Linked DNA regions of Alligator mississippiensis. The protein of the gene in region 2 interacts with the protein of the main gene of each other region in a pairwise test. Links are inferred from orthologs where the notes say so. Each region holds a gene or a part of one and is shown on either strand. Other genes may lie near its edges.

Region 1 (7,502 bases), about 88 Mb from region 2:
ACAGCCCATAATATTTTAGGATTGACAAAAATCCCAAGAATGCTTAACTCTGCTTTCTGTTAAAATTGCCAACTTAAAAATTGTTTTTATGTTAAACATTTTCCAATTAAATGTACAGTGCTGATTAATTTAAAACAGGTATTTAAAACTACAAGGTCAGTATTCAGGATAGTGAAGGCATGATCCGTAGGCTATACAGGCAAATATAGCACACAGAGGCCCAGAGTCAACACCATCCTCATTGTCAAGACTGCCTGGTAATTTTTGTAATAGACAGATGTCAGCCAAGGATTAATCTGATGCCATAAAATTAATTTCCAGCTGATGTTTTACAAGGAGTGAAACCCTGGTCCTACTGTCTTCATTTTGGTCAAGATGTCACCCTAGGCCTCCAGAGAGGAAATACAAAGTACACTGACTTAAATCCATTTAGATTTGTAAACCAAGCAAATCCTGTATCTTTCAGATCAGATTGCTAGCTAGCTGTACGTCTTGTTTAAAAAAAAAAAAACCCCACAAAAAAAACAAACAAAAAAAGCTACCAAAGCTTTAAGTCCTTAAGATATCAAGTATTTTAGACTCTAGCCATGGAACTTTTTCTTAATCTGCTGACTATAAAATAAGCAACTCCCAAAAGTTTGACTAAGCAAGTAAGATGCATAAGAGCATAACACTTGTTACGAGTCATGTCATCTAAAAAAAGGTAGCGTATCAACTAGAAAGGTTTTAAACACAGACTACGCCAAGCTCAGGAACTAATGCATAAGCCAGTGAAATGATGTTCAGACAGAAACATACGCAGTAGTAATTTAAAAAGAAAAAAGCCTCAAAGCTTAGTTTCCTATAATAAATGACATTTCACTTCTAAGGTACAATAACTCCTGTGAACTGACTGCCCAGAGTTTTCCATCTATTGACTCCTCTGTGAAATCCTATGAAATATGAGCTTTCATTTCTACCCAGGAGAACTTTTACAATCTTTTCTCCAATGCCTGATCAAGAGTGTTTGTGCCTGAAAGCTTGCAATTAAAGACTTCTTTCGCAAAAATCTTGTTGGTTTAATAAAAGATATCACCTCTACTACCAGTCCCGACTGCCTTTTCCTCCAGACCAATACAGCTACAACCTGAATACCAATAACTTCTGTAGTATTCAGGGTTTAAATATAGTCCATGTGGGTCTAAACTCCCAAAACTTTCCTCTTACAGTATCAAAATGATCAGACTTCAAAACTGTGACCAGCTAGGAGTGACTCTTTTGACTCTGCAAGAAATTTAAGCCAGGACTGCCAAACTTACCTGGGGCCCGAGCTGGATTCAGAGCATGGATCTCCCTGCAGGCCTGCCCAGATACAGCTGATCTCATGCCAGATCCAGCCCACAGGTTATACATTTGACACTAGGGATGCACCAATAAAGATTTTTTTGCCCAATACCAACAGCCAATTCTTAACCAGCCACGTTGGCCGATACTGCTCTGAATGCCAATACGTACCCCAGCAGCTTGGAGACCAGTGTCCAGCCAGTAAGTCTGTGGGAGGAAGAGAGCATGGGGGAGGGAGATCAAGGCCCCCATGATGTGGGAAAGAATTGGGCTGGGGCAGGGGCAGGCACTGACCAGCTAGGGTGGAGTGGGGCATAGGACAGAGCTGTGGGCAGCAAATCTGGGGGGGTGGGAGGGTGGGGAGAGGCCACAGAAGGGGTGGGCAGCTCCCCACCACTGTGCACATCCCTGGGGGAGGCATGGGGAGCTCGTGCCCTTCAGATCTGTGCATGGGGCGAGGGCAGGCTGCCCACTGTGTGCTCAGGGCCCGAGGCTGCACTGGCCTCTTCCCAGTAGCTCCCAGCCCCGAGCCCACAGCAGGCAGCCCGCCCTCACCCCACACACAAATCCGGAGAGTACATGCCCCTCCCATGCCTCCCCCGTGGGTGAGCAAAGTGGCTGGGAACTGCCCCCCCCCACCCCATGCCCCCCTTGGCTCTGTCCCACGCCCTGCGCCTGCCCACTCCCTCCCTCATCATGGGGGCCTCGCTTTCCCCCCCCACCCCCGTTCTCTCCCCCACACCCCTTCCCCCCAGATGCTGCTTGTTTTGCCCCCTCACCCTATCCCCCTACACTTACCCACTGGGCGCTGGTCTCCAAGCTGCCAGGCTGCATTCCTGGCTGCTCACGTGGCATTTATCGGCGATGCCACCAACTACACCGACTAAAAAGGCGGTTGCTGATAATATCAATTTTCCTTTTATCAATGCCGATCTGATATGGACCGATATATCAGTGCCCCTCTATCTGACACCCCCAATTTAGGCAATTCAGCCCACTACATGCTACAGAGAGAAACAAGGCAATTGGTGTGAAAACCTGCTTGCAGCAGACACGGTTGCAGGTCGGCGTTTAACTGCTGTGCAGCTCTATGGAAACAGATGTTACAATCATTAGAACACCCGACGATAGCAACACCTCTCATTAAAAACCTGTGTGTCTTCCCAAACAGCAGGAACCTGAACTACAAAAACAGATGAGAGGATAAACGCCCGCAAGACAGGACAGATGACCTACAGTCCGCCCGGTATTGCGCAAGAGGGAACGGGGAGAGGAGGCAGCAGCGGGTCTCAACCCTCCCTGGCCTCCAAGCACCCGCCGCCCTCCGCCACTTCAGGGACGTGCGTGGCCCCGACTTCAGAGCCGTGTTTATCCGAGGCAGCGCTCGCCTCCCGCGGCATCCCGACAAGCCCCCGCCTGGAGGAGGGCGGCCGCAGGGAAGGAGCGCCCCGGCCTGGGAGCCGCTGCCGTGACAGGGCAGGAGGGAGCCGCTCCTCCACTCCCCGCCCTGGCAGCCCCCCTCAGGCCCGGCCCACGGAGACAGGCCCCGGCCCCGCGCACTCACCCACATCCTGCTCGAAGGGGTTGGGGGTGAACAGCGGCATGACGACGACAGCGACGACGATGGCGGAGCCCGAGGCGGCTGCGGCTCGCTCCCCGCGGCCGGGCCCCTCCCCGCGCCCGCTTCCGCTTCCGGCTCCGGCCGCCGCCGCGCAGGCCCCGCCGCTCGCGTCCGCGCCGCGCCTGACCCAAAACACGGGGACCCGCGGAAAAGAACCACCTTCCCCCTGCGGCCGGAGGAGCCCCCACCCGGGGCCCTGCACCTGCCGGGCGGCTTCTCGGAGCGGGGCAATAGAGTCAGGCACCGGCTTAGACCCCGGGGGCCTCAGAGCGGAGGAGGAGAGACCAGCGCCGCTTGCACGCGACCACGCCCACCCCGCGCACTCGGGGGCGGGGCTGGAGCGAAGGCAAGGCTGTAGGCGGCGGGGTCTGGCCAGGGGCCGTAGACAGCGGGATGTTCTCAGCGCGGCCCGCAGGGGGCAGCCAAGCCCCACGGGGCCTCGCTGCGTCTCTGCGGCCTCTGACGTGTTTGGTGGGCGGGGCGGGGCGGGGCGGGGTGGAGCCAGCCGCGGGCCGGTCGCGATGGGGGCTCGTCTGAGTGGCGGGAGAGGCTTCTCCATAGGCGACTGGTAGGGGGTGCACGTGCCCCCCCCTCCCCCCCGGGCCGTTGCCGTCGGCGGTTTCTGCGGGTGCACCCCCAGATTCAGGAGGCGCCAGGCACTCACGGGCTCCCTCAAGTGCCCAGAACAGCGGTCGGGCATCCAGGTTGTAGCCATGTTGGTGTAGAGGAAAAGGCGATCGGGGCTCGTGGACAGAGGTGATATCTTTGATTAATGAAACCAACAAGATTTTTGAAAAAAAATAAAATAAATTCGTTAATGGCCAGCTTTTGGGCCCAGACACCCTTCATCAGGCAGTGGAGAAAAAATAAAGTTCCCCTGGGTAGAATTGAAAATTCATATTTCATAGGATTTCACAGAGGAGTCGATAGATGCAAAACTCGTCTGGGCAGTCGGTTCATAGCTGGTAAGGAGCCTCACCTCCTGTCGGGGTCTGTGCTGATGCAGATTACCTTGAAACAAAGGCAAGAGCAGGATCTGCAGTTTCAGGCGGTCACAGTTGCTTCCTACTTGGGAAAGTACGAAGATTTCATTTCAGAAATCAGCTAAAATTTGATATCTTTTGTGTGCCGGGTATCCAGGTTGTAGCCGTATTGGTCTAGAAGAAAAGGCACTCAGGACTTATAGTAGAGATGATCTCTCTTCTTAAACCAACAAGATTTTTGCAAAATCTGCGGGTGCACCCCCAGATTCAGGAGGCGCCAGGCACTCACGGGCTCCCTCAAATGCCCAGAACAGCGGGCATTTTATTAGACCAACAAGATTTTGCAAAAATCTTGTTGGTCTAATAAAAGAGAGCATCTCTACCACAAGTCCTGATTGCCAGAACAGCGGTGGCATCTGGGCAGTGGGCACCGACGTGCTCATCTCCCTCCCCAGACCCCTGCCTGCGCGGGAAGCAGCTCAGCCCTTTGTGTGGGGGACTTAAGCTCAGAAGCCTGGTGCCAAGCAGGGCCCTGGACAGCCTGGAAACACTGCCCCAACCCCAGGAGAGTATCTACGTGTGACCATTTCTGTTCCCCGCATCTTTGTACTAGACTGTGAGATCAAGATCGGCTTCTTCAAGTGTTTTCAGCTTGTCCCATAACCAGCAGTATGAGGGATCGTTTCAGTGTGCTTCATTTTAGATGGATTTCATAATTGTCCTAAGGTATTTTCATAACACCAGAGGGACACCAGGCACTTGAAGCTACATCTAATTATGCTTAAAGATGACCTGATAGATTTTAGGAACTACTCCCGCTCCCCCTCAGTTCCTCTGCCAATTTTCATTCCACTACGTTTTAGGATATTTTCTTTCTGCCATGTCTACAGTAGATGCCGGCAAACAGAACAGGTGATTAAATAGGATAAACAGTGACAGTTGCTCCATAAGAAGTGCTGTGAACACCTGCCCCTCTCCTTAAACAATGGCACCATAAGAACAATCTATATTACTCCATATTTTTTGTGGAATAACTTTGTAGCTTATTGCCTGTTTTATCATGCCATTAATTGGTGGAACATGTAGCCAGCTCACAACTTGCTTGATTACTTGGTTAATTACACCTTGAGTATAACTAGATAGGGCCATAAACACACCAGATAAACATTTAGTTTTCTTCTCTCAGTTCTTGTAACAGGTGTCCTTTGTAACAATGATGGAAAAAGTCAGACAGGTGTGGGATTTATGACAGCTTTTTAAGGCTTGAACTGAACTGACCCACATTTTAACAACTTCATAGGAATGGTTTATGCTCTTTTATGAAGAGCAAATGACACATGAAACAGTGGGATGATTTTGCAATCAGTATTTTATGCATAATATGATGCCTTTATATAACTTGATTTATTACAATGATGTTATATTTCATGACTTATGTTATTCAGTTAAAACACCCAAAAGACACCACCCTGTAACAGTATCTTTAACACATTAAAATGGTATACTTGGAAAGCTTCAATGTTGAATGAAATACATATTTCTATTAGTTATGATTTTTTCTTGTATCTAGCACTGTAGTTTGTAGTGAGTTTTCTGTACAATAGTAATTGAATCCATATTGCAGACTTATTAAAAGAATTTTCTCTAAATCTCTCTGGACAGGAGGATTTTTTTTTACAAGTTTTTCTGTTGACTGTAAGAAATTTATTAAGCCACTTAACCCTCATTAGTGAAAAAAGACTTTTGTGTACCAGACAATGACAGTGTGCAAACTGGTGTTTCTTTAAAAAAATAATTAGCTTTCACAAACAAGGGGTCACAGGAAGTAAGAGAGTCAATATAGCACTGAGAGCCAGCAATTCTGAGAGCTTTTCTAATTAAACATACTTTATACAAGTCATAACAAGATAAGTTTGTGAATATTTTTTTCTGTAATGAAGCTCTTCTAACAAATAAGAATATAGCATCTCAGGTGGACTGTAGTCTAGCTTATGTGCCTTATTAATGTATAAGAATTGGTGATCCATGATTGGAAGGCAAAATAAAAGTTGAATATATTTAAACAATTAACACTTTGGTTACTGATTTAATACAATACATGTAGCACCTTGTATAATTCAATCTCTCTCTTCACAGTAGGTCACTTCCTTATTAAAGATCTAATAAACACATTTATTTCCTTGTTTTCCATCTATGAACTGTGCAATGAACAAGATACAATTGTATATATTTCTTAGAGTTAGAAGAAAATATCATGAAAAGGTTTTTGAGAGATTAATGGATGCAATGGAAAGATGATTGTACCTGCTGTGTAGAACAGAGCCCCTACATCATTACTAGACTGGGAAGGGGATCCAGGGATACCTGCCCATTTTCCCTTCCTTCACCTTCCTCCTGCCATCTTTTTCTCTCTTACCTTTTGTGTGTCTGCTAGTGCATCCTAGTTGAGGTCCCTTCCTCTTGATTTCCTTGTTCCATGGTTGGTTCACCCCCACCCCTTCCTTCCACTTAATCTCTGTGGCCATTTGTTCACGTGCTGGGAGTTTAGTTCTTCCTAAATTGAAATGGCCGGTTTTGAATTGGTGGGGTTTTGTGTTGATTAAAACCCACTGTTTCAATTTAGGGACTTCCGTCACCATGACAGCAGTGACAGCCCCGTCAGCTCCATAACACACACACACCCTTGCCACAGAGAGGGCAGGCTCCGCTAGAGGAAAAAAAAAAAAGCAGTGAGGAGCCCAATCTTTTTTTTTTCTTTTCTGGAGCCTTCTTGCCTCTACTATGGCCAGTGAGCCTTGAGCTGCAGTGGGCCCTGGTGCTTCCCTCTGTGGTGGCAGGGCCCCCCAGGCAGCACCCATGTACTAGCACCCCACTTGGGTTGTCCCGGGGGGTGCTGCCACCACGGAAAGAAGCACCAGGGTCCCCCCACAACTCGGGCTGCACAGCCCACCAGCAGCTCACTCCCTGGCCACAGAAGACTGCAGGCAGTCTCTGGGAGCAAAAAAAAAAAGATCAGGCTCATTACTGCTGCTTTTTTCTTTTGTCTTAGCAGAGCCTACCCGCGCAAGCTGCCATCGGGTTGTGCAGCCCCTGAGCTGCAGGAGGCCCAGAGCTTCCCTCTATGTTTTTTAAACATAATTTAAAAAGAAATACACTGCCGAAGGTGTACAGTGTTACAGAATTTAATCATAATCATCAAGAAATACACTGCCGAAGGTGTACAGTGTTACATAATTTAATCATAATCATCAATATACAAGGGTGTCTTGGGGAGAGGGATTTAACGGTGGGGGTCTACTACAGACCCCCCAACCAAGGGGTGGAGCTGGACCGGGAATTTTTGGGCCAGCTTGCAGAGGCACTTAAGGCAAGGGATGTAGTTGTCATGGGTGATCTAAATTACCCGGACATCTGCTGGGAGGAGCAGTCAGCCAGGTCGGACCGTTCCAGGAGGTTCCTGGCCAAGATACAGGACCTCCGCTTAACCCAGGAGGTGTACAGTCCCACCAGAGGAAATACCCTGTTGGACCTGGTCCTGGCCACAGGTGATGATCAGGGGGGACAGCAGGTTAGAC
Region 2 (7,647 bases):
TTTCTGGACAGTGTTTTCTAAGTGTGTCAGTCCTGCATGGTCCATCACCTCTGTTTGCCATTTTGTCTTCCCACATGATTTTCAGGATCTTGCACAATTGCTCAGGCTCCTGATGTACCTAGAATATGTAGTCCATGTTTCCAAACCATAAAGCAGGGATGACAGCAGGCAAATTTAATAGATTTGCATCTTCACCTTATCTGATAGTCTGCTGTTATTCTATGCATGTTTCTGTAATAGCCTGAAATTCTTAGCTGCTTTTCCGATTGTGTTTCTTTAGTCTGAAAGTCAAGATTCCTGATGATTGAAGAATCCAAGTAACAAAAGCTGTCAAAGACACTGAGAGATTTATCTGCCAGAGTGATGTCAGGCACTGGTTCTTCCACCCTTTGGTACATGATCATAGTCTTATTGAGAGGAATTTATGTTTTAACTAAATATATTAATTTCAACCAGGTGAATTAAAAGAAAAAGAAAGAACTTTCCCTTAACTGAAAAATACTGAATTCTATTGACTAATTCTAGTGACAACTAGAATGAAATTATGGTCTGCCCTACTTCAGTACATTTTTATAACTTAACAGGAACAAGCGGTAAGGTTGGAAGGAACCAAGTTCAGGATAGACAACCTTCTCAGAGAAATCTGACTGCAAACTCCCTAGATCAGAAACTGAAATGCATGCGTGTACAGAACCTAGCACAATATCTGACTGGAGCCTGCAATTACATGTACAATGAGCATAATAATTGGACTAGACGAGACTTAACTTTGACTAGAACTGGTTAGAAAATGATATTTCAGTTCCATGGGAAATTCTCACGTTTCACTTTAGTTTTTGGTCCAAATCAGAGTGCAATATCGAAATTTTCTACAGACTGGAAAGTCTGAAAATGTTGGCTATGAAACATCAAAATGCTTTGTTTCAATGAGATAACGCCAATATTTCATTGTGATAATGAGACATGACAACATATGAAATGTGTTAGCCAAAAAACAAATGAATAAAAGTGAAAACTGAAACCAAAGCATTTTGTCCCCAAAATTTTTAGTCATCAGAATAAGATGAGGAAACACTGCACCAGCTTGTCCAGGGAAAACCATCATTAAAACCAAGCTAGTTGGGGAAACCAATTTCAAAGTTAAGGAAACTGCAATTTCCAGTGGAAAACCGTTCTGTCCAAAATTCTAGCCTGCTGTGCTCCAAATGGTCTCTCATTGACACCAGCTGGATTTCTCCATGTGCAGATGGAAACCTGAGTACAGGAACAGAGGGTTACCGGGGTTGCCTTCACTATTCTACCTCAAAGTTCTATTTAAGAAAAAAAATCATGTTTAAAAGCTCGGTCCCACACAGCCTACTGGATTCTATCGGCCAGGGATGCTCTACCCCCGATGCCGTGTCATCTGGCCTATAGGGCTCCCCAAGAATCTGTGGGAAGACCTGCGTGCTGTGGCTGTGAATGCTAGTAAGCATGCAGAGCAGCACTGGTCCCAACTCCATCATGTGGGGGCCCCTGGAACTCAATCCTCTTGTATGGGACTGGGTAGAGGCAGCTCAGGCCCCATTCCTGGTGGGCAGGGTCCCATTTGAACCATGGATGGGCTCCATATTCTCATCTGGCCCATGGATCAAAAGGTTGAGCACTGCTACTATCAGGTAAATTCCTCATTGTTCAGCACCCCATGGAGCACCACTCACCCCAGCACAAAAGGAGGTGAGATGTGAATGACTAGGCTCAAAGTAATGGCAAACTGGTCCCTCTATTACTGGGTCCATGACTCCAGGGCATTTTTACCTCTAGCGTTGCCAATTCTTGTGATTTTTGGCGTTGTTCTTAAAGTCTATGCTTCCTATCACTGTGAAGCAGAATTCACCAAGCATTGGATAGTTCACCCACAATTAAAGAATGCAAAAAGCCTAGTTCTTTAAAATATATATAAAAGAAAGTGCTAGATTTTTCACATTCCCGAAGCCTAGACTTGAAGAACAATGCCCAAAGTCATGAGAGTTGGCAATACCGCCGCTAACGCACCGCTTGTACATGTTTGCAGGGGATGAGGCGGGATGGGGAGGGAGGTTACCTCTTCTGGTTCATGGACGCCCTCTGACTCCACTCATTCAAGCATGGATTGTAACAGTGGGCGGCCGAGATATCCTGGCTGGTGACACGGTAGCCCCCAACGATGAACAGGTAGTTGTCCAGTGTTGCCGCCCCATAACCGCGCACATTCACCAGGTCCGGAGGCAGATTGTTGGCCAGGGGCAGCCACTGCTGAGCCACCTCATCGTACCGCAGCATGGAGCCCGGCCCTTCCTCTTGCCGGGGCCGCCCCGCCAAGTCGCCCACGGCCACCAGGGTGGCGGCGCCCCGCATACGCCTCTGGGCCAGATGCTGGCGCAGGGCGGGTGGCAGCACCAGGCGGGCCTGCCACAGCACAGGGTGGTAGTGGGCAGCCATGAAGTCCAGGCAGGCCTCCTGCAGGTCCCGCAGGCCATAGAGCTGGGCCAAGCCGTGCAGCTGCAGGCAGTTGCCGAGGCGCACCTGGGAGCGCAGCAAGCGCAGCAGGGGGGTCACCTGCAGGTAGCAGGCGGCCTCCACCAGCTCCTGCAGCACCGGGCCGGGCTCACCCCCGCCGCCCTCTCCTTCCCGCTCCTGCTCCTGCTCCAGCCGCGCCAGGCAGGCCGTGCTGATGAAGTCCAGCACCAGCTCCAGCCCCCGCGCGCTCAGCCCGCCGCACAGCTGCTGCTCCGCCCGGCCCGGCGCCGCCTCCCGCATGCCCGAGCGGTACAGCGCGCGGAAGTAGTCGCTCTGCTCCACCAGCTTCCTCTTGCACACCGCATAGCTCCGCTCGCCCAGCCGGATCCGCACCGTCTCCTCCCCGACCGCCTCCGCCTCCTCCCGCCACCCCGTCGCCTCCGCGCCCGACATTGCTGCGCCCGAGCCCCGACACTGCAGGCGGGGCGCGGCGGGGCGGGGAGGCGGCCTCCGCCCCGAGCGGCGGGAAAGGCCCGAAAAAGGCAATGCTGCTTCCCCGCGCGGCCCGCCCTCGCTCTGCCCCGGGCGGGGCTCTGGGACTAGGCTCCGCGCGCACCCCGCCCGCCTCACAGTCACACCGCCTCTCTCGCGCACGAATTCCCACGCACATTTTCTGTCTCACGCTCATATGTTCTTGCAATCACACATTTCTCTTACACACATACACTTTCTCTCTCACTTGCACATGTTCTCACACTCGTTCTGTCTCTCTCATGCACGTTCAAAACATCTAGTGAAGTCCAGCAAGTGCAAGCTGCACAGCTCCTCTTCTAGAGAGGTGGTTTGCCTGTGAGTCCAAAGCCAGCCTAAGAACAGAAGATTTCCCATCGACTGGCTCAGCCCCTAGGTTCATCTCACCCTGTCTCCCTCATGACCTCCGGTCAGCCTCCTCCTGGCCCTGGCCAAGCTGGCCGTGTACCTGACCATGAAGGAGGCTCTGGCCAGGAGGGTCCCCAGGGACTCTGGGGCTGCTTTCCTCACCTTGCTTTGCTCCCATCTCCAAGCAGAGTATCACTAGTCAGTGTCCACTTGCTCCTTGGACTCATTTGAAGGCCAGTGGGCACTGTCTGGTGTGCTCTGCTTGGTGTCCCCACTCAGCACGGTTGTTTTGAACTTCTGAGCCGCACTCCCCTCCCTGTTTTTTCATTATTTGTCCCAAGAAATCTGTTGTCCCCTTTTCCTGTAGCCTCCCCGCCTAAGGGAGGCCAATGAGAGACTTGGTAGGCTGGGCCTATGTGTTTTAAAGGGTGACACGTAGGCCTGTGGGACCTCCTCCTGGCCCTAGCCAAGCTCGCAATGTATCTCACCAGGGAAGAAGATCTGGCCAAAAGGACCTCTGGGGACTGCAGGGCCACTTTCCTGTCCCTGGTCTGATCCCATCTCCCAGCCTAGTATTGCTGAGCAGTGTCTACTGGCTTCTACTTGCTCAAGGGCCAGTGGGCACTGTCCGGTGTGCTCTGCTCGGTGTTCCCCCTTGGTGCACTCTTTGGGTGCATCTATACATGCATATTAACACAGTACAATAAACTCCGGTACTTATTGCACCTGAGTTTATTGTTCCAGGCACACCATTTGCACACGTGCCCAGGATTGTAGCACATTGAGCCAGGTTGGAGCAGCCCCAGATAGCAGGGACCCCAGCTGGGAGGGTCAGCGTGCTGCAGAGGGGCTGGCTGGAGCACAAGGGTGCCTCAGCACAGGTCTAGCTGGCAGACAGCCTCCTCACTGAAGTATCCTCACACCCCAGCCAGCTGAGGCAGCATCTACACATTCACTGCTGCAGAGTTTTTTATTCCACAACAGGATAGTACCTGTAAATATTTACAAGTACTATCCTGCTACTGAGTAAATTAGTTTACTGCAGCCTAATTGGGCGGGCATGTGTAGATGCTGAGGTGTTTACTGCACAGCTAATTAGGCTACAGCATAGTAAATGTCTTGTGTAGACCCACCATTTATGAACCTATGACCTCACTCCCATCACAGTTTTCTCTTTAGTTGTCCCCCCAAAACCAGTTGATATATGCCCAATAACCTATACAGTGGCAGAGAACAGATGCTGAAAGGAAGAATGAACTGGGTATGACCAGGGTTTTTTCTCACTGTTCCTCTCTCACTAGCAGCCTCCAGCATTTAAGATCTAGGAAGTTCTGATTCAGAGGCCATGCCCCTAGCTCCCATTCTCAATAGTTACTGATGCCCCTTTCCTCCAAGAATTTGTCCAGTCCCTTTTTTGAATATGGCTAGAAAAAGAGGCAGGTGTCTGTCTTTTACAACTTGGGAACAGATCAATTAAGTGATTTTTCCCAGGTGACATGGGAAAGCTGTGGCAGGGTTATGAACTCAGCTTGACTCTTCTAAATCCTAGGCATCTATATGAATAACTTAAACTAATGAACCAAGCTATTTAGCCTAGAACTGTAACAAACTCAGTCTTGTACAATCTTTTTGTACAAGAATTGCAAAAGACCGGGAAGATTGGCGAAAGTTATTGCTACATCAAAAGTGCCCTAACAATTGGTGCGACCTCCGGACTGATTGAAACAAATTCACATTTGCTAGGATAAATACAAAGCAAACACTTACTATATATGGCAAGTACTTACTCTTGACAGGTCCTAGTGGGGTAGACAGAGGAGTCTTGTCTTAACCACATTTGCTAAGCACATGGTAAAGGCTAAACTTCTGGTGTATGGAAACCGTTGCCTACCAGCATATTACAACATTCCTGTAATAGTGTTGGTATACAGGGCAGAAACTAGTCTCTATTCCTGTTGTCATTTACTGCTGCTTCCATTTGTTCCATGGTGCTGTTCTGCCCTCACTGCTAAACACTCTTTTTAAGTTTTCTTTTAGACATCTCTTTTCTTCACAACAGCTGTTTCATTTGGATGGCTTCCTATGTAAGTCTGTGTTTTGGCACCCAAATGAAACCCATCAGTCTGGTTCTGGTGAAAATGAACTGCTGGTTGATGGTGTGTTGGATCACTTTGTTGATGATAAAACCTTTCTTTTCAATGTTGAGAATCTTTTGTAAGTACCTCTCTTCAAAGCCATCTATTTTCCTGTCTCATATTAGGGTAGATCTCCAACTCTCACAGCCACACATTAGCACAGAGATTACATTTGAACTGAAAATTCCCAGATTTGTTCTGGTTCTGTATAGCTTCCAGTTCCGTAAGTTAAGTTTAGTGATTTATAGAATGCTGTTCCTGTCTTTCCTGTCACTTTCTTCTTGAGGTGTCCATTGAATAATGTGGTGCTATTAGTTATGCATCTGCTTTCTGATATATATCTACTTGATTCCTGGGTTTCAAGAAGGGTTTTTTGTTTTTGTTTTGGGGAGGAATTTGTTTGATTTTGATGTAGTTGACTTTGAGCCTCTGCTTGGTCTGCAACTTTTGCCAGGTTGTCTCTCTCTGTAGCTTTCTAAGTGTGTCACTCAGCGACACAATGTCATCAGCAAGGTCTAGGTCTTCTAGACATTTGCCATCTACCCAGGGCATGTTAGCATTTGTTTTGCCTGTACCTTCTGCTATCCAGTCTATGGCTATGCCAAATGGTAGCAAAGAAAGAACATATCTCTATTTCACATCAGTGTCCATGCTAAGCCATCCTGTTATTGAAGTCCTCTTTAAAAGTATAGAACCAGTCATCTTTGTATGAGGTCTGATGATCTTAGCTGGAATTCTATAAACAATTGAATTCCAGCTATTGTTTCAATTAGCTGCAATTTCATAATAATGTAAATATTGTTTACCCCTGTTCAACTACTGTTGAAGTATTCTCTTGCTCCCAAGATCATTTTTTTCAGGTTTCTGAACTCCTGAGAGAGAGATTTCACCAGGACCCTTCATATGGCAGGAAGGGTCATCAGTGTTCTCTGCTGAGCAACCATTTTTATCAGAACAATAGTACATTTCCATGTCCGTGGACTTACACAGCTGGGTGGTCAGTCTTCTGCTCACTTTATCCAGGGTCAGGCTTGGCAATTATCTCAAGGGGCAGCAGGTACAGTTATCATATTTATTATGCTGACAAATGCATCCTATTTTTTCTTGAACACAAAACTATTTGCATCCTAGTTTCTTTCTTATACTTTGATCATAAGCTCACTGTGGCAGGGACCATCTTTTTGTTCTGTTCATACAGGAGCCAGCATTATCACAGCTCTTTCTATGATCAGAGTTCCTATACACTACAGTAAGCCAAATAATATCTAATAAGCCTGAATCCCAGAAAAGTTCCTGATCGTGTGCCAGTTATCATCTGCTCAATCAGCAGGGAATCAACCAGGGACTTCTAGAAAGTCTGTGCAGCTTGAATGAAAGATGTCTACTTCTGTGGCTTTCTTCTTGGAAAGAGCACAAGAGAGGGATGCAATAGGTTATAGCCACACCTTCAGCACCCAAATGAGAATAGGGCTGCACTGTGTTAGTTGCTGGATCAGCACAAAGTAAGAGACAAATGTCACTCTGAAAAAAGTATGAAATCTATGCCAACAAAATAACAATGAATAGGAGAAAGAAAGTATAATTATTCTTATCTTACGTTCAGGGCTGGACATAGGCATGGGCAAACTCAGTGGCTGCCTGGGGCCCGGACAAAAAGGAGGCCCGAAAATGGTAATTGTTATTATTATTAGTATCATTATCTCTGGCAAAGGAGGGCCTGATAGTAAAAATTCGCTCAGGGCTGCCAGGAGTCTAGGTATGGTGCTGCTTACACTTGAGAAAATTGAGACAAAGAGAGATTAGGGGTATGCCTATACTACTTCTGCCACATAGTTGAATGGAAGTGGCAGATATGGCTACAACCTGTGTAATTCCCAGTCCTGTGATATTAGATGTACTTCAGACATGCCTACCACATCGGGCCACTCATGGGACATAGGCAGGGAATGGTTAGTTTGGAGTTCAGATGTGAAACAGGCACTGAGCTGCATAGTCCTGTTAAGACTGAGATGCTTGTGGCTGTGTGCAGAAGCAGAACACTAAACAGCTAGAAAATTTTAAGTGATGAAAAGTCAAGCAGCTACGGGGTTAATTTGCAATTAAGCAGAGCCTTTAAATACTGCAATTTTGGCTTTGAGCAGACTCACTTTAGGTG
Region 3 (7,067 bases), on a different chromosome or scaffold from region 2:
GCCTGCAGACCAAGCCCTACGAGGAGAGACTAGAGAACCTGGACCTTTTCAGCCTCCGGAAGAGAAGGTTGAGAGGCGACCTTGCGGCTGCCTATAAGTTCATCACCGGGGCACAGAAGGGAATTGGTGAGGATTTATTCACCAAGGCGCCCCCGGGGGTTACAAGAAACAATGGCCACAAGCTAGCAGAGAGCAGATTTAGACTGGACATTAGGAAGAACTTCTTCACGGTTCGAGTGGCCAAGGTCTGGAACGGGCTCCCAAGGGAGGTGGTGCTCTCCCCTACCCTGGGGGTCTTCAAGAGGAGGTTAGACGAGTATCTAGCTGGGGTCATCTAGACCCAGCACTCTTTCCTGCTTATGCAGGGGGTCGGACTCGATGATCTATTGAGGTCCCTTCCAACCCTAACGTCTATGAATCATCTATGAATCTATGAAAACTCGGCCACAAGGGGGCATGTGCCCCTGACTCGCTTCCTGCCTCAGTTTCCCTGTGGTCTCCCCCCACCCAAGACCTGGGGCAACACCCAGGCATCTGGGCTCCCAGCCCCCCAACTTTGCCCCAGCACCAGGTACAAGAGGCAGGAGCTGACTCAGACATTAACCATTTCATTGCCTGCGGCTCTGCAGCCTGGGGGGGGCAAACTGCCCAAGACCCCCCCGGCCTGCCAGGCCTGGGAGCGGGCTCAGAGCCCCCGTGGGCCCACCAGCACATCCATGAGCAAGTCCAGGTCATTGATGTCCAGGCCCCCGTCCTCAGGGCCCGGCGCCGCCTCGTCCTCGCCCGGCGCCGGCGCCAAGGCCTTGAGGCCGGCAGGTGCCCACAGCTCGCCGTCATACATGGAGGTGTCGATGTCCTCGAAGACGCCCTCCAGCCCCTCGTCCGGCAGAGGGGCCAGCAGTGCCCGTGCCCCGCACTCTGCGCCCCACAGCGCCGGGACCAGGCTGCCCGCCGGCTCCAAGTCCCCCAGGAGCCCCGAGACGGACGAGCCGAGCGAGACGTCCAGGCTGGGGAGCAGCATGGCAGGCCCTGTGCCGAGAAGGATGCCAGAGCTGTCCAAGGGGGCGCTGGAGCCGTCCAGTGGGCCCGTGGGCCAGTCTGGGAGGGCGCCGGAGCTGTCCAAGGGGGCGCCAGAGCCCTCCAGTGGGCCCATGGGGCAGTCTGGGAGGGTGCCGGAGCTGTCCAAGGGGGCGCCGGAGCTGTCCAGAGGGCCCGTGGGGCAGTCTGGGAGGGCGCCGGAGCTGTCCAAGGGGGCGCCGGAGCCATCCAGTGGGCATGTGGGGCAGTCTGGGAGGGCGCCGGAGCCATCCGGCGGGGCGGCGGGGCAACGTAGGACAGTGCCAGGGGGCTCGGGCGCCGCAGCCTCCGTCTGCATCTGGTCCTGGAGGCGCCGCAGGGCGTTGGTCACGAGCACCAGGGGCCGCAGGTCGGGCTCCACGTGCCGCAGGCTCCGGTGCAGCTTGACCACGGACAGGCTGAAGAGGGAGGTGGCCGGGGCGGCGGGGGACGCGGGGGCATCCGGCCCTGCGCTCTCTGCGGTGCCGCGCTTGCGCTTGACGCCCTTGTTCAGCATGGCGCTGCGAGGGAAGGGGAGACTCAGCACCGCGCCGCGGGGGCTCGGGCACAGGGGGCGGGGCCGGACACCCGGGTTTTTTCCTGCCTCCCCGCCCCGGTCTCGCGGCTCCCATGGACCCAGGCTGCAGGTGCCATCACTGAGGCCCGGAGCAGAGGGCTCCCCCCCACCCCTGTGCCTCAGTTTCCCCACCCCGGTCCTGCCCGGCGCCGGCGAGGCGGGGGCGGGGCGGTGAGTCAGGCCGGCCCCGCCCCCCCGTGAGTCACCGCCCGCGCTCCCTCCGCTCCGCTCTGCTCCGCCCCGCCCCCGCGCCCCGGTCCCGGCCCCCCCCCGTCCCGGCCGCCCCCCTCCCCTCCCCGCAGCGCAGCCCCGAGCCCGGGACCCTCATTTACATACCCGCTCCTCAGGGGCCAATCCGCGGGGCCTGGAACGCGGCGCGCAGCCAATCAGGAGCCGGCATCCCCCCCTCCTCTCTTCCCCCGCCCCCCTCCACCGACCCGGCGCCGATCCTCGCTGCCGCGGCACGCCCGGCCCCAGCCAATGGGCGGGGCCAGGCCAGGAAAAGGGCGGGGCGCGGGCCAGCCAATCGGAGCGTGGGGCTGGGGGGCTTATTTGCATTCCGTGGGCGGACGGGGGAGAGTCAAGGAAAGGGGAGAGGAAGGAGCGCGAGGCCCCGCCTGCTTCTGCCTGATAGGTGGAGGCGAGGGGGATTCATTTGCATAGTGGGGGGCTGACGTCAGCGGCTCCCCGCGGCGCGTGGGGGGAGATGAGTGTGTCCGGTCTCAGCTCACAGCAGCCGCCAATAGGCGGGGCGGGGGTTGGGGCTCCGGCCTCCCCCGAGCCTGGCACCCCCGGGCACCCCTGTGCCAGGCGGGTAGCAGAGGAAGGGCTGCGGCGAGGAACCGAAACCGCAGCACGCCCTGCTACGCCCGCCTGGCGCCCAGCGGCCCAGGGGGTGCAGGGAAGGGCCCCCCGCCGCAGGCAGGTGTTGAGGCCTGGGCCTGGGCACGTGGCCCCTGAAGCGGAGCAGGGCCTGGCACGGCCACGGGTCCTGACCTACGCCTGCACCCCCCGGGGGGCCCAGAGGGAGCCCGGGCTTTGCCCCTGCCCCCCAGACCTCGTAGTGACCGCGGAGGCGGACGCAGACCCTGCAGCTCCCCGACTCCCTCGCCTCCACCCCATGGGCCCCGCTGCCCTCTTCCACCCAGCCATTCCCAGTCCCGATCCCCCATGACCTCTGCCCCCCCATGGTTGCCCCTGCATCACATGGTGCCCCCCATGACGTCCCTGCCCTGCACGGTGCCCCCCGGGACCCCGATCCCCCATGACCCCTGACCCTCCACGCTGCCCCTGCCCCGCCTGGTACCACCCCATGGCCTGTGCCTCCCATGGGGCAGCTCCCCCATCACCCCTTCATGGTGCCTCCTCTTTCCTGCCCCCCCCAGCCCTGCTCCCTGATTGGAGCTGGCGCTGCCATGGGGATAAAGCAGCCTGCAGATCCCAACATGTCCCAGGTGGAGGGGGGGGGGGCAGAGTGGGGGGGCTCAGCGCAGGGCATGCTGGGACATTTTGGCCTCCTGCCAGGCCCCCTCCTCCCCTGGTGGGGCTCAGCAGCCCTTGTGGGGTGGGAATGGGAACCGGGACGCCTGGCAGGCTGCGGGGTCGGACTCGGACCTGGATGCCCGGGTTCTCCCCAGCCCAGTGGCGGAGTGGGGGCAGTGCCTCAGTTCCCCCAGATGGCAGGTGCATCACCCGGCTCCCTTCTTCAACCCCCCCAGGCTCCCTGCTGCACGTGGGCAGCTCCCGCAGGGAACCCAGGTGTCTGGGCCAGGCCGGGAGGGGGGGCGTCAGGCCAGGCAGGTGGAGAGCGGCTGGGAAAAATCACTGCGGTTTAATCATCCCGGGAGCGTCAGGCGCCGGAGCAAGCAGGGTGGGCAGCCGGGGGCCGGGCTCACTCCTTGGGGTAGTGGCGGGAGAGGTAGACGTTCTTGCCGTCGTACTGGGCCGTGCTCAGGCACTGCAGGAAGAAGTGGCCCAAGTCGTGCTTGGAGATGACGCGGGAGCCGCTCGCTGCGTTCACGGTCACCGTGTAGTCCCCGGTCAGCGGCTGGTCACCTGCGGGGGCAAGGGAGGGTCAGCAGGGGGGTCCCCATCGCTGCCCCCCTCCCCCCCAGCCCCGGCACACACCGGCGATGTGGGGCGGCATGACGGAGACGCAGTCCAGGCCCGAGTCCTGCAGGATGCGGTGCATGCGGATGTGGTCGTCGGTCACGGGCTGCAGCCTGGCCGGCACCTTGGCCGGGTCCCACATCAGGAAGGCTGCGGACAAGGGGCCACCCGAGCTGTGAGCTGCGGGCACCCGGCTCCGAGCCCCTGATGGGAGCCAGGAGTCTGGGCCCCCAGCCCTGCTGCACCCCTTGATCCCACCCCACCCCACCCCCTGGCATTAACCCCTGGCAGCCCAGAGCTCACCCGACAGGCACGCGACCACCTTGCGGATCCCGTGGGCCTTCATGGCAGTCACGATGTTCTTGGTGCCCTCGGACATCATGGTGGTGGGGCCTGGGGGGCAGGAGGCGGGTCAGGGGGCAGGAGACGGGTCAAGGGGGCAGGGGGCAGGGGGCAGGGGGCAGGGGACGTACTGAGGTCATTGCGGGTGCCCAGGATGATGATGACGGCGTCCTGCCCCTGCACAGCCCGGTCCACGGCGCTGGGGTCCAGCACGTCGCCCACCACCACGTGTGCTGGGTGCAGGTCCGGGGGCAGCCGCGCTGGGTCCCGCACCAGCACCGTCACCTGGTAGCCTGAGGGGGGAGAGCGGGTGAGCGTGGCCCGGACACCTGGGTTCTCCCCCGGCTCTGGGGGGGGCTCCCGCTCCCGTGGCTCAGCGCCTGTCTCGCTTTTGTGCCGCCCATGCCAGCTCCGGGTCTTGGCTGGCACCCGGCCCAGGCAGCAAGGGCCGGGGTGGCTGGGTGCCCAGCTGCCTGTTGGCGCCCGCTGGGCCCAGCGTGGCGCTGAGGTTAGGCCCTGGATTGGCCCGTGCTCCAGCTATGGGCTCACGCCCCCGGCTCGGGCATGTGGCAGGCGAGCAGCTGGGGACACGTGACCATGACTCAGCACCCTCCCAGCTGGGACCGTGACTCAGCAGAAGCCACCCTGGCGCGTGGGGACCTCAGTGGCCCTGGGCTGGCCCCTCTTGGCCAATGCCAATGGGGTTTGTACAGCACCTGGCACCCCGAGCCAGTGCCCTGCTCCAGACGATTGCACTGACCCACCTTTTGGCCACCCGGTGCCAACCAGCCCCCAGGCGCCCCAACCTGGTGGTGCTGGGGCCCTGATCCCGGTTGGGGTCTGGGTGGCACCAACACCCGATCCCCAAGCACCGCTGCTGGCGGGTCACGGTGGCACAGCGGGGAGGGGACCCAGGCGTCCGGGGGGCAACAGCAGAACTATCTCTGCTGGACGTGCCCAGGGCAGGGCGTCCACCAGTAACGGCCTTGCTTATCTCCCCACGCCATGCGCCGTCCACACCCCCCTGGCGCGGGCTCGGGGGCTCCTGCAGCTACCCCTGGCGGGGCCCGGGGCATCGGGGGGCCCATCCAATGCCCCCTCCCTGCACCCCCTGGGGCTACGTCTGGGTGTCCCTCCGTCAGCTGCCCCCCTGGGGGTGCTCGGGGCTTCTGCCCAGGGGGCAGGGGCTCTTCTGCCCCCAGCGCCCCGGGGGTTGGCTCGGACCCCCCGCGCCGCCCGCCCTACCGGCCTGCAGGGCTTGCGCCAGCGTGGCCAGCCCCGTCATGCCCGTGGCCCCGAAGATGACGATGTTCTTGCAGGTGGCCATGCCGGCGGTGCGGGTGCCTCTGTCACTCGGGTGTCCCCGCCGCGGGCCCTTCCGCGCGCTCGGTGCTGCGAGCTCCACCCAGAGGGGCCGGGCACCCGCAGGGCCGGCCCCTGCCAGCTGATGCAGCCGGTGCTGGGGAGGGGAGGGCGGCCGGGTGCCAGCCCTGCCCTTGCGGCTCCCACCTGGGCCTGGGGACGGCCCCCGCCTGCCTGAGTGTGCAGAGAGCCTGCACCCCGCAGCACCCTGGGGGCGGGGCCGGGCAGGGGGCGGGGCCGGGCACCCCGGGGACCCCGGTTCGGGTCCCGGCCCCCCCGGCTGACCCGGATCGCGGGGAGCGGCCGGCGCAGGACCCGGGGGGGCGGCGAGGGGGCTCTGCCCGGGGATTGGCTGCCGCGGCCGGCGGCGCTGACGAGCGGCGGGGCCGGGCCGGGCAGGCGGGCGGAGCCGGCGCATCCCTGGATGCTGCAGCCCGGAGCCGCGACCGCGCCCGCGGCCCCGGTGAGACACGGGGGGGGGGCTGCGTGTGCGTGTGTGTGCGTGTGTGTGTGTGTGTGTGCGTGCGCGCGCGTGTCTGTCTGCATGGCTGTGCATGGGTACGTGTCTGCACGGGTGTGCCCGTGGCCATGGGTGTGTGTGCATGCGCGTGTGTGAGAGCGTCTGGGTGTGTTTGTGCATGGGTGTGCATGACTGTATTGTGTGCGCGCATCTGTATGCATGCATGTGCGCCAGGGGGGAGGCGTGTGTGTGCATGGGGGCGCGTGTGTGCATGCGTGCCATTGCACATGGGAGCAGGTGCACATGTGTGTGTGCGTGTCGACGTGCCCTCTCCCGTGGCAGCGTGCCCCCCTGTGCAGGCGTATCCTTGCATGCACCCACACATATCCTTGCCCGTGTGTGTGTGTGTGTGTGTGTGTGTGTGTGTGTGTGTGTGTGCAGACCCATGCATCCCTGCCTGGGGAGAGGGGGGCCTGTGGGCCTGCACACGTGTGTGCATGCATGTGTGAGCCCCCCGCGGAGGGCAGCACCCTCTCCTGCTACCCCCCACTTGGGGCGCTGGAGCCGGGGCCTGGGCTGCCCGTCCCTGCCGCTCCCTGCAGGCCGGGGGGGCAGCAGAGGCCCCGGAGCTGGAGCCAGGTGGTGGCTGGGGGGGCTCCATGCTGCGCCGGGTGTAGGCCCAGGCCTCCGAGCTGTGATGGGGGGGGGGGGCTGTGTCAGCTGAAGGTGATGGGCAGGGAGCCAGCCTTGGCTGGAGGGACAGACCGGGGATGCCGGGGCTTGTCCTGCGGGCAGGGGCTGGAGCTGCACCCTGGGCTCCCGGGCACCCCCTCCCAGCTGCCGGGGCCGGAGCAAGCCCCAGCCCCAGGAGGGAGGCTGGAGCTCCATCCATCTGGCTGCAGCCGCGGCCTGGTCTCCACCGTGCTGCCCAGCGCGTGTACATGTGGGCACAGACGTGCACGCGAGTGAGCCAGGGTGGAGGCTCATGGATGCTCTTTTTGCAGGGCACCAAGGGTTAATACCCCACCCCGGACACCTGCCTTTTTCCTGCTGTGCCGGGGTCCGGGTCTGTCTGGGGGTCCCTGGAGCCTTGCGGGGGCTGGAGGGGGTGGGAGGCCCCTGGGATGCCCCAGTTACCTCTGGGGGGTATGCAGGTGCACG

Evidence for each region.
Region 1: the proteins of KLHL42 (region 2) and STAM2 interact in binary tests that used the Homo sapiens proteins (3 or more experiments, as listed by UniProt). The two-hybrid records come from large-scale screens. The link is inferred for Alligator mississippiensis from reciprocal best matches to the Homo sapiens genes KLHL42 and STAM2.
Region 3: the proteins of KLHL42 (region 2) and SERTAD1 interact in binary tests that used the Homo sapiens proteins (3 or more experiments, as listed by UniProt). The two-hybrid records come from large-scale screens. The link is inferred for Alligator mississippiensis from reciprocal best matches to the Homo sapiens genes KLHL42 and SERTAD1.

Annotation. Positions count from the first base shown.
Region 1 is NC_081827.1:226,524,793-226,532,294, reverse strand, and holds the start of STAM2 (signal transducing adapter molecule 2), read right to left. Parts: upstream 3,026-7,502; 5' UTR 2,928-3,025; coding exon 2,888-2,927; intron 1-2,887.
Region 2 is NC_081827.1:138,674,240-138,681,886, reverse strand, and holds the start of KLHL42 (kelch-like protein 42), read right to left. Parts: upstream 3,053-7,647; 5' UTR 2,932-3,052; coding exon 2,084-2,931; intron 1-2,083. UniProt on the Homo sapiens protein: Substrate-specific adapter of a BCR (BTB-CUL3-RBX1) E3 ubiquitin-protein ligase complex required for mitotic progression and cytokinesis. The BCR(KLHL42) E3 ubiquitin ligase complex mediates the ubiquitination and subsequent degradation of KATNA1.
Region 3 is NC_081838.1:2,495,774-2,502,840, forward strand, and holds SERTAD1 (SERTA domain-containing protein 1), read right to left. Parts: upstream 2,788-7,067; 5' UTR 1,970-2,787; intron 1,578-1,969; 5' UTR 1,574-1,577; coding exon 686-1,573; 3' UTR 593-685; downstream 1-592. Other genes in the region: BLVRB (flavin reductase (NADPH)), read right to left, coding at 3,525-3,688, 3,761-3,892, 4,046-4,135, 4,216-4,377, 5,330-5,411; SPTBN4 (spectrin beta chain, non-erythrocytic 4), read left to right, coding at 5,871-5,909. UniProt on the Homo sapiens protein: Acts at E2F-responsive promoters as coregulator to integrate signals provided by PHD- and/or bromodomain-containing transcription factors. Stimulates E2F1/TFDP1 transcriptional activity.